Linked DNA regions of Sus scrofa. The protein of the gene in region 1 interacts with the protein of each later gene in a pairwise test. Links are inferred from orthologs where the notes say so. Each region holds a gene or a part of one and is shown in the gene's direction. Other genes may lie near its edges.

Evidence for each region.
Region 2: the proteins of ZBED1 (region 1) and LRRC20 interact in binary tests that used the Homo sapiens proteins (3 or more experiments, as listed by UniProt). The two-hybrid records come from large-scale screens. The link is inferred for Sus scrofa from reciprocal best matches to the Homo sapiens genes ZBED1 and LRRC20.

What each region holds. Positions count from the first base shown.
Region 1 is NW_018085344.1:625,694-629,340, reverse strand, and holds part of ZBED1 (zinc finger BED domain-containing protein 1), read left to right. Parts: intron 1-1,379; exon of another isoform or gene 1,380-1,382; 5' UTR 1,383-1,439; coding exon 1,440-3,569; 3' UTR 3,570-3,647.
Region 2 is NC_010456.5:73,237,641-73,241,287, reverse strand, and holds part of LRRC20 (leucine-rich repeat-containing protein 20), read left to right. Parts: intron 1-296; coding exon 297-464; intron 465-3,647.

The sequences.
Region 1 (3,647 bases):
GACTCAGGGATCTCTGTCCACACATGCATTCTCTTTGAGATTCTTTTCCCGCGTAGACGATCACAGAATCGTGGGCACGGTTCCCTGTGCTCCACGCCAGTGTGCTCTGTATGCTCGCAGCTTAATTACTTCTTTCATACGTGGGGGTGCGTGCGTCTTAATCTCCTGCCCCTCTCTCGCCCCCTCCCCTTCCCTCTCGCCCCTCCCCTTCCCTCTCGCCCCTCCCCTTCCCTCTCGCCCCTCCCTTCCCTCTCGCCCCTCCCCTTCCCTCTCGCCCCTCCCCTTCCCTCTCCCCCACTAGCTGCTTCTCTGTAAATGTGAATCTGTTTCTATTATACTCCTTTTTTTTTTTTTTTAAGTTTTAGGTTCCACCTATAAGTGATATCATACGATACTTGTCTTTCTCTGACTTCCTTCACTTAGCATGATCATTTCTGGGTCCCTCCATGGTGTTACAAATGGCATGATTTCATTCCTCTTTATGGCTGAGTAATATTCCATTGTACACACGCAGCATCTCCTCTTTGTCCATTCTTCTATCCGTGGATGCTTACGTTGCTTCTGTGTCTTGGCAAATGTAGACAGTGCTGCTGTGAGCATTGGGGTGCAGGGAGCTTTGCACACCAGTGTTTTTGGTTTATTGGGCTAGATGCTGGGGGTGGGATCGTTGGATCCTACGGTCGCTCTGTATTGAATTTCCTGAGGCGCCTCCATCCTGTCCTCCATTGTGGCTGCACCAGTTGACGTTCCCACCCAGTGTAGGTGGGTTCCCTTTTCTTCCCCCCTCCCCAACACGTGTTATCTGTGTTCTTTTTGATGAACAAAACGTGGAATCTCGTTGGGGTCAAAAGGGCATCATTTAAAAACAGAAAACTCAAACAAGCTTTTCTTTGCTGCCTCTGCCAAGTTCCCCACTGCTTGTGCTAACTCATGTGATTTGAGCCACTTCCCCTGGTGGCGGGTCACCTGCGTGCTTGCCGACGGGGAGGTTTCAGGCGCGGGCTGTGGGTCTTGGGCTGGCGTGGCCCCTGCGACCGCGGCCTCCACCTGGAAAACCAGCCCTGCTGGCTGGCGCTGGGCGGGGGGAGTTCCTAGCACAGAACTTGGTAGAGCGGCCGGGTGAGGACAGAGTGTGACCAGGAGTCCACAGCCGATCCAGAAGGGAAAGGTAACACATGCGTGTCTTCAGACGCACCTGCACGGAAGAGCCGCTCACTTGTCAGAACGTCCCCTCCGCTTTGCCAAAGCCACGCGCCACCGCGCCCACCCCGGGTCCCTCTGCGCGCGCCCTCGCTTCCGAAGCCGCGCCGCCCGGGCCAGCTCCCCGCCGGCCGAGCCCCCGTCTCTTCTCACGCTGTGTTTGTCTCGCTGCTTCTCGGCAGGTCACCCCGAGTGAGCAGAGGCCCGGCGGGGGCCCCGGCGGTGCTGGCGGCGGCGCGATGGAGGCCAAGAGCCTGGAGGGCGCGCAGGCCGACCTCAAACTCGTGGCGCACCCTCGCGCTAAGAGCAAGGTGTGGCGGTACTTCGGCTTCGACACCAACGCCGAGGGCTGCATCCTGCAGTGGAAGAAGATTTACTGCCGCATCTGTATGGCGCAGATCGCCTACTCCGGCAACACGTCCAATCTCTCGTACCACCTGGAGAAGAACCACCCGGACGAGTTCTGTGAGTTCGTCAAGAGCAACACGGAGCAGATGCGCGAGGCCTTCGCCAGCGCCTTCTCCAAGCTCAAGCCCGACGCGGCGCAGCAGAGCGCGCAGGAACCGCTGGCCGCCAAGGGCGCGCACGGCCACGAGGGCCGCAAGCAGCAGGAGCTGACGGCCGCCGTCCTGGGCCTCATCTGCGAGGGGCTGTACCCCGCGTCCATCGTGGACGAGCCCACCTTCAGGGGGCTGCTGAAGACGGCCGAGCCGCGCTACGAGCTGCCCAGCCGCAAGTTCTTCTGCAGCAAGGCCATCCCCGAGCGCTACGGCGCCGTGCGCGACGCGGTGCTCAAGGAGCTGGCGGAGGCCGCGTGGTGCGGCGTCTCCACGGACCTGTGGCGCAGCCCCAGCCAGAACCGGACCTACGTGACCCTGGCCGCGCACTTCCTCTCCGGCGGCGGCGGCTGTGGCGGCGGCGGCGGGGCCGCCCCGCAAGGCCTGGCCCTGGGCTCCCGCTGCCTCAAGACCTTCGAGGTGCCCGAGGACAACGCGGCCGAGACCATCACCCGCGTCCTGTACGAGGCCTTCATCGAGTGGGGCGTCAGCTCCAAGGTGTTCGGCGCCACCACGGACCGCGGCAAGGACGTCGCCAAGGCCTGCTCGCTGCTGGACATTACCGTGCAGATGCCCTGCCTGGCGCACACGTTCGACGCCGGCCTCCAGCAGGCCTTCCGGCTGCCCAAGCTGGGCGCGCTGCTGGCCCGCTGCCGCAAGCTGGTGGAGTACTTCCAGCAGTCCACCGTGGCCATGTACCTGCTGTACGAGAAGCAGAAGCAGCAGCACGCCGCGCCCTGCATGCTGGTCAGCGACCGGGTGGCCTGGTGGGGCAGCACGCTGGCCATGCTGCAGCGGCTCAAGGACCAGCAGTTCGCCATCGCCGGCGTCCTGCTGGAGGACAGCAACAACCACCACCTGATGCTGGAGGCGGCCGAGTGGGCCAGCATCGAGGGGCTGGTGGACCTGCTGCAGCCCTTCAAGCAGGTGGCCGAGATGCTGTCGGCCTCCAGGCACCCGACCATCAGCATGGTGAAGCCTCTGCTGCACATGCTCCTCAATACCACCCTGACCATCAAGGAGACGGACTCCAAGGAGATCAGCATGGCCAAGGAGGTCATTGCCAAGGAGCTCTCCAAGACCTACCAGGAGATGCCCGAGATCGACATGTTTCTCAACGTGGCCACCTTCCTGGACCCGCGCTACAAGCGGCTGCCCTTCCTGTCGGCCTTCGAGAGGCAGCAGGTGGAAAACAGGGTGGTGGAGGAAGCCAAGGGGCTCCTGGACAAGGTCAAGGACGGCAGCTACCGCGGCGCTCCCGAGGACAAGCCCTACCCGATGCCCGAGGAGCCCCCGGCCAAGAAGCCGGCGCTGTCGCCCACGCCGCCGCCCACCAGCGTCATCAACACCATGCTGGCCGAGATCTTCTGCCCCACGGGGGGCGTGGAGGACCAGGAGGAGTGGCACGCGCAGGTGGTGGAGGAGCTGAGCAACTTCAAGTCCCAGAAGGTGCTGGGACTCAACGAGGACCCCCTCAAGTGGTGGTCCGACCGCCTGGCCCTCTTCCCCGTGCTGCCCAAGGTGCTGCAGAAGTACTGGTGCGTGGCGGCCACGCGCGTCTTCCCCGAGCGCCTCTTCTGCTCCGCGGCCAACGCGGTGCACGCCAAGCGCAACCGCCTGGCCCCCGCGCACGTGGACGAGCAGATCTTCCTGTACGAGAACGCGCGCGCTGCCGCCGCCGCCGCCGCCGCCGAGCCCGAGCTGGAGGACGAGGACGAGGGCGAGTGGGGCCTGGACCACGAGCAGGTGTTCCCGCTGGGGGATGCCGTCCACGCCGGCTATTTCGGCCTCCGGGACGGCGGCTTCGTGTAGCCGGGGGAAACCTGCGTCCTGGCGGCCGCGGCCGATGGTCTGCTGTCAGGAGGGACCCCCGCGGGGGGTGGGCGCACC
Region 2 (3,647 bases), on another chromosome or scaffold:
GCACTGCCCATCCTGACCTGCCCCCTCCAGGCCCGGGGTTGAGCCAGCAGATCTGTTGAGAGAGCCTTCCATCCCAAAGCCAGAAGTAGGGGTCCAGCTGGAGTGATGGGTAGCCATGCTGGGGGTTACCCCTCCTTTTGCCTTAATGTGGAATTAGCCCCTCTGGGGACTTCCATTTCGCCTGGGTTTCCTTTCTGCCTTCTGGGTCCAGGCGGCTAGTGGTCACTGTGGTCTCTGGGCTGCTTCTCTTTCACGCCTCCTCTCTCTTTCTCCCTCTACCCTACCGCCCCCCGCAGAACTCCACCTGGAAGGGAACTTCCTGCACCGTCTGCCCAACGAGGTCAGCACCCTTCAGCACCTCAAGGCCATTGACCTGTCCCGGAATCACTTCCACGACTTCCCCGAGCAGCTCACCACCCTGCCTGCGCTGGAGACCATCAATCTAGAGGAGAACGAGATTGTAGGTGAGTGCACCCAGGCTGCCTGGCCCCTCACCGCCCTCTGTCTGCAGATCCTCCCTCTGAGCTCCCCTTCCTGAGTGGGGATCACAGCGCACGAAGGCATGGGGCTCTGAGTTGGGCCCCAAAGACAAGAGGGCAGGGTTGGGCTTTCTGGTGTGAGATTCCTGAATACAGGGCACTGAGCTTGGAAAGGTAACCATTTGGAGCTGTGCCACCTGCCAGGGGCCAAGCGGGTCCCTGGCTTCCACTTGGCAGGTAGAAGGTCTTGGCTTTCCCCTCAGCAAGCCCTGTACCAGCTGGGCCACCTTGGACTACCAGCTCTCCCTCTCACCTCTCCATCTGCCAGCCTTGGCTGCCCCCAAGACCCTCCGCTAGGACCTCTATACGTGGACTCCAGCCCAAGTCCCTGGCTTCATAGGGAGCTCTTTGCCACTGTGAAGTAGGAGCCACTGGGCAGATGTGTTCTGCCTTCCAGGACAAATATACTCCCCCTAGGGACCCAGGGGGTCTCCTGCTCTGGGTTGGAGATGTGCCTTCTGCAAACAGGAGACACCAGTGAGCTGGGTCCCTTTCTTCCTTTTGTAGCAGTTACGTAGCTCTCAGTCTCATCAGGACCCGAGCAGCCTCTCCAGCTGCTGTCTATTGTCTCCAGAGAGCCTGGTTCCCGCAGGGTTCCTCCACGCCCCTCCTCGGTTCCCTCTCACAGCTGCGCTGGTGCGCTTGGGGAACCCATCTCCAGCCCCATTTCACCCTCTCTCATGTTGCCTCTAATGTTGATGGTTAGTAATAACCCCCTTCAGTGATGCTTTTATTTCTGTAAGCACTCTCACAGCCATTATGCCATTTGATTAAAAGCAAGAGGTCTCTAGTGTTTTGGAGCTGTTTGATGGAGAGCGGCCTGCCTTGTGCACTGATGAGCATCCCAAGTCTCAAGAATGCTGCTGGCTGAGTGGGAGGTGGGACCAGCTAACCTCTGAGCTTTGAGGTCCATCCTTTTACAGATGAGTAAACTGAGGCTCAGAGAGCTTCAAGTTGCACAGTGAGACCGCAGAAGTGCCAGGACGAGAATGCATGAGGCTAAAGCTCACCCCTGTGCTAGGAATGGGATTCCCTTGCCTGGCCTTGGGCTCTGGTTTAGTTTTACCCTCCTGAGACCAGGATCCCTGAGTGGCTGGTCCCTGGGTTGGTCCCCTTGGTACTTGCGCCCCTGTAGTGTCTTTAAGTGGAAGAAGCACGTCCAGAAGTGCCTTTGCACTGCAAGGCTCTTCCTTCTGTGATGTCCTGCCCTCTGGGGGTCTCATCCTGAGCCCTTCATTCTCAGCCAGGCCCTCCTCGCTGGGCCCTTCCTCCCCTGCCTACTGTTCTTGGAGGCCACTCCTGATGCCTCCACTTCCTTCCACTGCTTGTCCAGATAGGACAGTGGCTGATCCAGAGGGGCTACTTCAGGCTGATGCCAAGACCAGAGCTGGGTGTGTAGTTATAGGCCGGCAGGTCAGGACAGGTATTGGCCATTGGCTTCCCTGCTTCCTACCTTTGGAAGACTCCCATCCCCTCTGTGGGCTTCAGCTGCTTCTCAGCTTTCAAACAGAAGTTCTCCCTGCCCTCCTCAATCCCCCATCCTATAAGGTGGCTTTTCCCCAAGCAGGAGAACAGGGCGAGCCTATGCTGGCTGCAAGTACAAGAAGTGACTCTCCTCGGAGTTCCTGCCATGGTTCAGCAGGTTAAAAACCTGATGTAGTGTCTGTGAGGATGTGGGTTCAATACCTGGCTTTGCTTAGTGGGTTAAGGATTTGGCATGGCTGTGAGCTGCAGCATAGGCCACAGATGCGGCTCAGATCCAGCATTGCTGTGGCTGTGGCATAGGCTGGCAGCTACAGCTCTGATTCAACCCCCTAGCCTGGGAACTTCCATATGCTGCAGGTGCACCCTAAAAAAGAAAAAAAGAAAGGAAGAGACAGAAAGAAAGAGAGAGAGAGAAAGGAAGGGAGAGAGAGAAAGCAACAGCTCCTAGAGCAAAGATTGGCTGTTTTGACTTATTCTCTCATGTGCATATCTCTGCCTTTCCGAAGAGTGACAGTAAAATGCTACACATGGAAGCATTTACGGTTTACCAAGAAAGCTCGCATGCAGGCCCAAGGCAACAGGGTGATCATCCCATTTGAGAGATGTAGAAACTGAGGCACTAAAACTCTGCCCAGCCTTCATGGTCAAGTGTCTCTGGCACACCTGGCCAGGTAAAAGAGACATCAGCCACTGGGCTGTGCTTCTCAGCCAGTTCAGGCTGTGATGCAGCCCCATGCTGCCCAGCCTGGGGGACATGGAGATGCTGGGGGCTGACCCAGTTCACTCAGAGGCTCCCAGAGGTGCTTGGCTGACCTCAGGGTCTGCTCCATTGCGGGAGGCCATGGGTGCGCTCCCCTCACCAGGTGGAGAGAAGCGGCACATGGAGGCAGCTATGGTTCCCTTGCAGGAGATTCCTCACTTCCTGTTCCCCGATCCATCCTAGTTATAGGGATGGCTTTCTAACTCCCTGACCAGCGGAAGGCCAGGCCACAGCCTTCACAGCCCAGTGGCGGGGAGGAGGGCTGCAGTCCTCGCGAGGAAGGTAAGGGCTGCACAGTCTTTTGCTATGGAAATAGCTCTGCACTGGTTACCGCTTGTAGCTGATCTCCTGCAGGATCTCCTTGGGATGATTGCAGTAGGAGCTCAGAATTTCCGAATGGCTTATTTTTCCCCTATGGAGCCCTAAGAGGGTATTGGAGATTTTTAAAAATGTTTTTTAGAGAAATAAATTGGAGATGCACTAGCTGCCTTTAAGCTCTCCTTCAGTAAGTAGAACACAAGCAGCTCTGCAACAGGCCCCCGGTGCAGCCGCAGACACCTCCAAAGGGAGCGCCTCCAAAGGGAACACCTCCAAAGCTGCCTCCAGCCTGGAAGGCCTGGAAGCTGCCAGGGCAGCAGCATCACCTTGTTTGTGAATAATGCCGCTGCCCGGTCTGCCAGCACTCTCTGAGCCAAGATGTGGGGAAGCAGGTGAGGGCTGCAGTCCAAGGAGAGGGCACGGGACCTCAGCGGGTCTGTTGGCTGGGAGGGACGGGGACACTGCTGCCTGCTTTCCGGTCTAGTCATTGGCAGGGGGAGGGTGCCAGTCCTTGGTACTCACCATAGTGAAATGTCCTCTGGTCA